Caenorhabditis elegans: one gene and its partners. The protein of the gene in region 2 purifies or fractionates together with the protein of the main gene of each other region. This does not show direct contact. Each region holds a gene or a part of one and is shown on either strand. Other genes may lie near its edges.

Region 1 (3,706 bases), on a different chromosome or scaffold from region 2:
AATAACCTAACAAGATACATCGATATGTTTCTTTTCAGACTGAAAGTTGAAAGAACGAATGGAAATTCTAGGCACTATTTTGATGAAGCTTGAAAAACGTATAAATCACAGGTGTCTCTTGTCAAAAACGGTTGCTTTACGAGTCATTAAACATTTCCAGGATTGCGTTTATAGGAAAGCGTTTAGAACTGAAAAACTTAAAAACTCTAGGAATTATTCTTTAGTAACATATTTCCTAGTCAATCGAAAAACAAAAGAAGCATCTGACTAAGATTCTGGTCAGATATCTCCCAGTACCGGAAATGAAATCGCTTCTTTTCTCTTCAACTATTCCTAGATTCAGAATCAAATGAAAGTGAATCGAAAAGCAACTCTCCGTGCAACTTCATTTATAAATCAAATTTAGTCAATTGTTGTGCGTGTATAAGAGAGAGTGTGTGAGATGATGGAACAGAAACAAATTACCTACGGATGATGATGGAACAAGAAGGCAAAAGAAAAAACGAGTGAATTCATGGAGGTGGATTGATAGTTTTTAAATAAAATGGAAACCAAAATTTTCTGATAATTTATTTGAAATTAAATTCTCAGTTATGTTTTGAAAAAAAGCAAAAAAAAAAGTTAATGAAAACAAGAAAAATAACACGAGCACTTGATGATGGGTTATACTTGAATTCTGGAATGGAATGTCAAGCAGCACCATTCATACAGTGAAAGTTTTGCGGGGTGGAACGGGGGAATCAGGATTCATGAGCAGTTGGCAGGGGGTTCCTTTGACGATTTATTCCTTGGTGCTGACCTTCCATCCGAGGATAGCCTCTTCTCCGATAGCAGAGACAACTTGGACCAAAACGGATCCCTCGTCCTTCTCATAAGCATCACGGATCTGTTGTCCGAGCTCAGTATCGGGAAGCTTGAGGTCATCCTTTTGCTCGCAGGACTCTGGGTCCATGAGGGAGCAATATCCGTCATCGATGGCCATCAACTGAAAGAACAAGCATATTGAAAATTGAATAAAAATTTAGTGATAGTTTAGCAATATGAAATTTTGGAAAACCTACCAAGTACTCACGACGCTTGACGACTGGAACATCCATGTTGTGGGTGGATGGACAGATATCTTCAAGCTTCTTGCTGGTGAAGATGTCGATGGCGACCATGTGGACCTTAGCGTGACCGTGCTTTCCGGTCTTGGAGGTCGACATTTCGACGATCTACAACTTTCAGATAACTTTTATGGTTACGCAAAGTTGATTTGTCCACATTCTAGAAGCATGGTGCTACGATTGTATGTATACTTTTTTTTTATTCCTCAAATATTTTTTGCAATTTTAAAATGTTAATATTTAAATTAGAACTAAAATTCAAATTAACTGTCTTAGAATTTCCTTCCGGTAAAAGCATGGCGGGGTGTCTCTGATCCGCCTCTTCACTCGCCTCTGAGAATATAAATATCTGGCCTATCTAATGTTTAGACTAACAGTTTTTAGGATTAAATCATATCATCTTATCTGGGTATTTTGTGAGCTAAATAATTTCAGGAGTTTTTTGTTTTGGAATTAATTATCAATTTGGTAAGCTTTCAGTTTTTGTAAAAAACTATGAGTGAATAGTTTATATAACTATATATATAGTTCTTTCATATTTATTGGGTTTTTGTTTGAGAAAAAGTGCTCAGCAGTTTTAAAAAGTTGGCATCACCAAGTTTCAGCCGAAACTTATCCAAGTCATTCATCGCACTTTTTCACAAAACATCTTCTAAGTTTATTTAATTTTTCAACATTTTAAAACAAAGCGAACCTTGCATGGGCGTCCCTTGATCATGACATGCTCGTTCTTACGGAGAGCAGAGCACTGCTTTGGGAATGTGGCAGCAGCTCCAGAGTCTCCGGTGTGGAAGTGCTCGTCGTCGTGATGATCGTCAGACATATTGGTACCCTACAACGCACAAGTTAATTTTTTAAATGATAACAATATTTAAGAATAAATAAAAACCAGAAAAAATATAGTAAAGCGTCAAATACATAGTCCTTAAGAAATGGGGACCTAGATCCAATTTGATAAATCTACTAGTTTTTACAGCCATTTCAAAAAAGTCAGCAAATTGAATGTATCTAAATTGATTTAAACCATAATAACCTAAAAATGATGACAAATAGAAAAAACATCATCAATCAATAATTTATCATATCAACTTAGCATATTGTAGGTAGATACTATATCTAAGACAAAAACCAAGCATTCCCTAATACTTACACAGTTTTGTCTTGAAAATCACAAGAAAACAGTCTGAAACTTTTCAAAAAAAGACTTTCAAAAGTTGCCTAAACAGTTGCGAAGGTCTTACGTAAATACGGTTGAACTCGGTATCCCATCACTGTGTGTGGGTCGCTACGCAGGCAATAACCAACCGCGTGGCCGTCGACGGAGCGTGTATGCACCGGTCTTGCAGGGTTGAGACGGTGGTGTAATGGTGGAGACACTGACAAACATACAATTTTGCAGTTTTGGAGAAAACGGAACATATCGAGACAGAGGAGCGGGAAAATGGAGACAAATAAGAGTTAAGTTGTAGGTTATTGTAGTAGATAAGATAAGAGTTGTAGTAAGTGAGTATACTAAAAAACGGGCATGAAAACAATTTAGATAAGTTTTATTAATTTTAAACATTGAATTAAAATTACATTCATGAGCTGGTTAGTAAATATATTTATTATATATGGTTTACTATATGTACAGTTTACCAATTTGTTCCAGACCTACTAATCTATTGACAACTAGTGTGTCTATTCAATTTGGTAATTATTCAATTTTTCCCTACTTAAAAGTTGAACAAATTTGTTTTTGAATTTATTATAATGTATTAATAATAAAAGCAGAAACAAGTAAGATACAAGTTATTAGACAAGTTATTAGAAGTTATTACACTACAAAAACTATCATAAAATACATTCGTGTAGTTTGAGGGGAAAGGAAGTATATCAAAACATGGTAAGTTAGTTATGGATTGAACCCCCCGACAACCTAAATATTCATGACTTTTACACAACTGTTTTTGTTGCCTCAGCTCCTGCTTAAGTTTTAAAAAAACTTGGATTGAACTGATTATGAGCATTGTAGTCACCAACGAAGATCTCATTAGATGTTGCAGTCTCTACTGAAGCTGCTGAAAAATTTAGATTTATTTAGTTTTAGGATATTTTAGGACATATTTTAGGAAATTGACAAAAACATATTTTCTACGAGCTTTATACTTCAATTGCGTTTTTTTTTTTGGAAAATTTGGCAATTTACCAAAAATTTGAAAAATATTAAATTATCCTATTTAAATTTTCACGTTTTGCTCAACCGCTTCTGGTTCGTTTTTTAAAAATTTATTTCTGTACTTACGATTTCTAAAAATGCCAACTTGTATGAAGACTAATTCACAAAAAGTGATTTTTACAAAAAATGGAGCTGTGGCAACTCGAAAAATTGAAGATCCTACTTCTTTCACTGTGAGTTAGACGGATTTTGAAACGTTTATTTTGCAAACTGAAAATTCAAAAATCAAATGGATTCTTGTTCAGATGTCGTATAATTGTGTGAACAATTATCTTGCTGATGCATCTTGTGATCCTCAAAGAATGACTGTAACATGTTGCCAATCGGAAAATGGAAGGAATTTTGTTTCATTTGCAATCAGTGAAGTTTCTCGTCGAACTGC
Region 2 (3,302 bases):
GAAAATGAGATCATGAGAATTCGTAAGTTTTCAGAGCATACGTCGATGATATTTTAATGATAACAACTGATGATTACTTATCTGTTGGGCAAGATGAAACATCCGAAGTTTGTGAAATTGAAATTCAAAGTCTAAATGGAAATCTTATACTTGTTTCCATTACCAATTTCCTTATGTTTTCCCATAGAAGACCACGGAATCCAAATGAAATTATATTACGAAACTCTGATATGCAGTTCATTGTGGACAGCAAGCCAAAGGTTAGATTACCGTAACAGTTACGAGAAATTATTAAAATTTTAGGGTTATCAATTAATGAAAACTCCAGTATGGTTGACAATTCCAATGAATCTGAATTTCCGATCGATTTTATTGTTTTCAAATCCAAAGGAATGCTCTTCATATGAGTCTATCAGATGTCCAGAATACAGCCTATGCTACAGTAACCTCATTTTTCACACAAAAACTGTTTTACCATTACTGATTTCTAGATTGCTCCAAATACTGTTTTTCTTCGAGTCTAGAATGTGATGGATTGGATACTTGCGGAGAAGATGAATCAACTTGTGCATTTATTACTGTAAGAAATGGTTTCAGAGATTCGAAACATTTATTTTATTTTTACAGCCACGTACACCTCACACTTCATACAGATATGGTAGAGATGCTTTATCATCAAGTCAGATTATGTTAATTGGATTCTTCGCTTTAAATGGATCATTTATAGGTGGATTCACATTTTCGAAAAAAAAAGATAACTTTTGGTTTACAGTATTCTTTCTGATATTATCACTATGTTCTGCCGGATTGTTCTATCGTTGCCCATTTTATGCCAAAAACAGCAACGCGTCTCGGCACACTTTTATTCGATATCTTCGGTGAGTCAACATGTCTGAAGTAGTATTATATTCAAAATAAATATCCCATCCGACACAAATAAAACAACTTTTTATGAGCTTAGAGCGTCTGAAAGATTAACCATAAAGCTCAAGGAAATACTTCCTTATTTAGTCTTAATTCTATATTATTGTAGACAAGCAATTCCTCCTGCACTTGCTCCACCACCTTCAGTTCAAGGGGACCAACCAAAAGATGAAGGAGAAAAGACATTAACTGTTCCGTCTACACCTACAGGTCATACACGACATCGTCATTCAATTCTGAGCAGGATTAATTTTCAACCTGCTCCTGCTTTGAGTGAAATTGAACCTGGTATTTGACAAAATTAGCTACTAAAACCATAATTTTCTTTAGAAGTGGAGGACAGAGAGCAATCACCACAAGAATCAATTTGTGAACCACCTGCACATCAGCCAGAAGTATTCCTTCGACGGCAAAGTCTTCCATTTGGACTCACTGCAGTTCCAGTCTCAAATGATTTAAATTCCAAAACTGATGATAAACGAAATAGATTCGCTTCAAGAGCTATGTCTTTTCAACATTAAATGAACTTATTTGTAATAAAGCTTTTACATTTATGATTTGTTTTCAATCAGAAAGAAACACTTTAAAAATTGCTCAATGATTGAAGGGTGTAAAATATTGAATTTGAATAACCGCCAATTGCTGCACAACGATACTCCGCTATTGCGCGAAAGTGCGCTCTATTTAGAAAATTTCATTTTCAAACATTTATTTTTTCGAAACAAAAATGCTCAATTTACTTTATATTTTTGTTTGATTCTGCTTTTATATCTTTTTATTTAATTTCGCAATTAAATTTAATTGTTTCAGACTTACTCGAGCTTTAAAAATGGCCCGAAATGCGGAAAAGGCTATGACGGCGCTAGCACGATGGCGAAGAATGAAGGAGGAAGAGGAGAGGGTAAGTTTTTCTTTTCATTTTACTCTTTTTTTTTGAATATTAATATCAAGATAATTTTAATTGCAGGGTCCTATTGCCAGAAGACCCCACGATGTGAAAGATTGCAGGAATTTGTCAGATGCTGAGCGATTCAGACGAGAGGTTAGATTTTGTATGAAAACCTGTAATTTTGAACTTTATTTAGATTGTGCGAGATGCTTCGAAAAAGATCACAGCTATCCAAAATCCTGGTCTCGGTGAATTCAAGCTTCGGGACTTGAATGACGAAGTTAATCGACTGATAAAACTGAAACATGCTTGGGAACAACGTATTCGAGAGTTGGGTGGTACGGACTATCGGTAAGAAAAATGACAATTAGACATATTATTCTTATTATTATTTTCAGAAAGTATGCACAAAAAGAACTCGATGCAATAGGGAGGGAAACGGGCAATTCCCGAGGTTACAAATATTTTGGAGCTGCAAAAGATCTTCCCGGTGTACGCGAACTATTCGAAAAAAGCACAGAAGGTGAAGAACAACGACGCCATCGTGCTGATTTATTGAGAAATATCGACGCTCACTATTTTGGTTACTTGGATGACGAAGATGGTCGCTTAATTCCTTTGGAAAAACTAATTGAAGAGAAAAACATTGAACGAATCAATAAGGAGTTTGCCGAGAAACAAGCTCAAAAGCAACAAACTGCTTCCGATGCAGCACCTGAAAATATCTATAAGGTCGAAGAAGACGATGACGACGACCTGGAAACTCAAGAGTCTACAGTCATCGGAGAGGATGGACGACCAATGACTATTCGTCATGTTCTACTGCCAACTCAACAAGACATTGAAGAAATGCTTTTGGAACAAAAGAAGCAAGAACTCATGGCTAAGTATCTGGATTGATTCCTTGTTTAATTTATTTTCTTTAAATTTTTCATCTCAAATTATGAATTTTCGGTTTTATTCATTTATTTTATTAATTCATAATAGAAAATTACAAAATTAGAAAAATGAAAGAAGATAATACAAGTAAACTGAGCGGCATCGTCGTTCGTGATGATGTGTTGCAGAATTCTCTGTGCGAACACATACACGCTATCTCAGATAACGATATCCTTTTGCAACCTTCTGGATAGTATGTGTGAATAAGTGTATCGTGAGGAAGGCAAGTGAGAGCAATTGAGACTCTGTTTAGATGGTTTCTGAAAATTAAGTTTGGAACTATTCAAATATAGAAATTGATTTTAAGTCAAGGTTTTGTAAGGTTATTTATTTAAATTTATTTTTGGTTAAAAAAATAGTTTTCCATTTGGATGGAAGGTTAAAAATTTGAGATCTTCCAACCTCTGAACTCGAAGACAAGCTGCTCCTTCGCACAATGAGCATGTATTAGATATCGCACAATCTGAACCGTCAAGGCACCACATCTGATGACTGTCACGACACAGAATTACAATGACAAGAAGAATTGAGACGCCGACGGTCATCGGCG
Region 3 (2,935 bases), 1.6 Mb from region 2:
TGATACCTGAGTTTCAGCCAGCTTAACAGTTTTTTCATTAAAACCGAACACAAATTCAACGGCCCACTAGTTACTCATAACCTAAACATTGGCAGGTGTTCTCTTACATAATCTGTTATAAACAAATGGATCGTCTCAATTTCCAATCAGGTATCAATGACATAAACAAATTATTCACCCTCCACCGTGCAACTCCATTAATTTCATTTCATTTTCGCAACAAATGATACCTAACTTACAGTTATTTCTTTCATTAATACTATTCGGCTTATTAAATCATGTATCTTCAATTGACTATGAAGAAATACACATCGAAGATTCATATGAAACAAGGTAACGAATCCTTTAATTTTTTTTCAAAATTACGTCCGAAAACATTTCAGATCACGTATTCTAATGGTTGATGGAAATGTGTGGTTGCATGCCGGAAAGGATAAAAATATAACGTTCAAAACGACTGGAAATGGAAGAATATATGTGGACGAAACAGATGTTTCCAAACTTCCAGATATTGTAGGTAGACTGCTGAAATTATCCAAAAAAAAAATGAACGAGCTTCTACAAAACATTTATTTTTGATACGTTGCTTTGCTTAACACACAGATTTCTTATTTAGTAGAGGCTTATGCCGATGGTTTCTTGGCAGCTTCCACTTCAATAAATTTGATGAGATCAGCTCGTTCGTCAGCTTTCTTCAAACCAGCGAAGACCATCTGAAAATTTCTTATTAATACTCCATCGCACTTCCTAGAAAATCCTACCTTAGTTCCGGGGATGTACTTTTTCGGATCAGCCAAATAGTCGAAAAGTGTTTGTCTGTCCCATACAACTCCTTTATTCTTGTTGGCAGCCGAGTAGTCAAATCCAGCAACTTGTCCGGATTGTCTTCCAATCACTCCGTTCAATGTTGGTCCAGTCTTTGTTTGCAATGAGTTGACAACGTGACATTGCTCGCAACGTTGTTTGAAGATCTGAAAATCAATAGGTTTTCTGGGAACACTATAATGAAAAATTTAACTAACCTTCTTTCCTTTCTCATTGTCTCCTTCTGGAATAGCTCCACCGGATGCCGTATCAGACTTCTTCTTGCCCATGTTTCAAGAACTGATTAAAACATAGACGGTCAGATTAGAAAAAGGAACGAAACGTGGATTACGAGTAAGAGTTGGAATTAGATAGTCGGAGATCACGCAAAAATTTACTTTTTGACAACTATTTAAAAAGAATCACTTTCCTGAGAAACGGTCACGTAAATTTTGATAATTAAGTTCTATTATTTTTATAAAACTTTTCAAAATGAATAATTGTTTGAAAATGTTTGAACTATGGAAGTTTTTGAAAATTAACTCGAATTACAATTTTCAATATTCAAAATAATTTTCAGGCATCTTTCAAGCAACTTGTTGGACGTATTGAGAACACTTCTCAAATGTTCACCACTTTGAAAAGTCGCCAGGACACGCAGACTTCTGCAATGAGAGTGGTTTTAAATTCTGCAAAACATTATCTAGTAGCGGTAATTCCATACATTTTTTTCTCTTTTTGAAATCAATTTTTAGCTTCGAAATATGACACTCGAAGTGAATATCTTGAAGAAGTGGAAAACTGATAAAATGGCCAGAGACATGAGGAGACGGGGATTATTGGTGAAAATGACACGTCAAATCATGTAAGACACAACAAGTTAGGTTTGACTATTTTTTATAAATTGTTAACTTTCAAGAGGAATCAACAAATTGATAGCAATAAACGCGTGCGATCCGAACAAATGTAGTAATGGAGGCACATGTATCCCATCTTTTGGCGCCAAATTCACTTGTCTTTGTCCTCCACATTTCACCGGTACAACTTGTGAAGCTGACATCGATGAATGCTCAGTATACAATGGTACAACTGCTGGATGTCAGAACAATGGAACATGTATCAATAACCGTGGCGGATTTGAATGTCAGTGCCAATCCGGATATCATGGATCTCTTTGTCAGTATCATATGTCCGCTTGCTCGAAAACTTTTGAATTGTGTGGTCCACATGGGCATTGTATTGAGAGTATTGTGGATCCAACTGGTCAGTCATCTTCCGATACAACTACGTACAAGTGTATTTGTGATTGGGGTTTCAAGGTTTCAAGTGATAAGAACAATCCAACGTGTGTTGATGTCAATGAATGCGAATCAAATCCATGTCATCCAGGAGTTGATTGTATTAATTTGCCTGGATCGTTTGTGTGTTCCGGATGTCCAAAAGGATATAAAAGTAAGTTAGAATTATATATGTTCAATCAAATCAAAAATAAAATAATTTTTTTGGTTTAATTCTTGTCTAGAAAATATATACTCGTATCCAAAACGTTTTCATAAAATAGGTAAGTAGGCATTTAAATAGGTCAATAGGTGTGTGGTAGGCATGAGGTAGACACGTACGCCTGAACAAGTGCCTACCCTGTATAACACTTACAAATTTCAAGCTTTTTTTGTGAAAATACTTGTTTGGATTTCTCAGTTCCGAGAATGAGGAGAGAAAGTCTTATAAACTTCGGCTTAACAATGTGAAAAATCAGAATTTGTTAGTTTGAAGGTGTCGAAAAATGTACTGAATATCTGTCATTGAAATCCAAAAAGTAAAATAAATTCAGCCGATGGAAATGTTTGTATTGATGTCAACGAATGTGAAGGTGAAATTCGTGTATGCTCTCCGCTTTCAAAATGTCATAACACTCTTGGCAGTTATTATTGTGATTCGTGTCCGACTGGATACTCCGGCGATGGAGGAAATTGTGTGAAAGATGATAGTTGTGTCAAAAACAAATGCCATAAATTAGCAACATGCAAGGTAACTGACGACGGATACAGTGCTGTTGGAGACTACACTTGCTACTGTCCAGATGGATATGTTGGTGACGGAATTGGAGAGGAAGGATGTGTTAAGTCAGCAA

What was found.
Region 1: the proteins of isy-1 (region 2) and iff-2 fractionate together in Caenorhabditis elegans (co-fractionation; one large-scale study listed by BioGRID). This does not show direct contact.
Region 3: the proteins of isy-1 (region 2) and cyc-2.2 fractionate together in Caenorhabditis elegans (co-fractionation; one large-scale study listed by BioGRID). This does not show direct contact.

The regions. Positions count from the first base shown.
Region 1 is NC_003280.10:8,559,027-8,562,732, forward strand, and holds iff-2 (Eukaryotic translation initiation factor 5A-2), read right to left. Parts: upstream 1,939-3,706; 5' UTR 1,930-1,938; coding exon 1,801-1,929; intron 1,747-1,800; exon of another isoform or gene 1,665-1,746; intron 1,215-1,664; coding exon 1,062-1,214; intron 986-1,061; coding exon 782-985; 3' UTR 555-781; downstream 1-554. Other genes in the region: F54C9.14 (PID domain-containing protein), read left to right, coding at 3,402-3,497, 3,570-3,706. UniProt on the Caenorhabditis elegans protein: Translation factor that promotes translation elongation and termination, particularly upon ribosome stalling at specific amino acid sequence contexts.
Region 2 is NC_003283.11:10,999,132-11,002,433, reverse strand, and holds isy-1 (Protein isy-1), read left to right. Parts: upstream 1-1,734; 5' UTR 1,735-1,753; coding exon 1,754-1,825; intron 1,826-1,891; coding exon 1,892-1,966; intron 1,967-2,009; coding exon 2,010-2,164; intron 2,165-2,211; coding exon 2,212-2,713; 3' UTR 2,714-2,771; downstream 2,772-3,302. Other genes in the region: F53B7.4 (Low-density lipoprotein receptor domain class A), read left to right, coding at 35-260, 304-442, 492-580, 628-727, 773-878, 1,034-1,212, 1,255-1,445; nssp-65 (Activin_recp domain-containing protein), read right to left, coding at 2,805-3,012, 3,155-3,297. UniProt on the Caenorhabditis elegans protein: Regulates the processing of the mir-60 microRNA (miRNA), which in turn negatively regulates the expression of the transcription factor zip-10. Does not affect the splicing of zip-10.
Region 3 is NC_003283.11:12,611,124-12,614,058, forward strand, and holds cyc-2.2 (putative cytochrome c 2.2), read right to left. Parts: upstream 1,096-2,935; 5' UTR 1,095-1,095; coding exon 1,023-1,094; intron 972-1,022; coding exon 762-971; intron 714-761; coding exon 624-713; 3' UTR 559-623; downstream 1-558. Other genes in the region: cubn-1 (Cubilin homolog), read left to right, coding at 224-333, 384-513, 1,385-1,516, 1,560-1,669, 1,724-2,256, 2,636-2,935. UniProt on the Caenorhabditis elegans protein: Electron carrier protein. The oxidized form of the cytochrome c heme group can accept an electron from the heme group of the cytochrome c1 subunit of cytochrome reductase.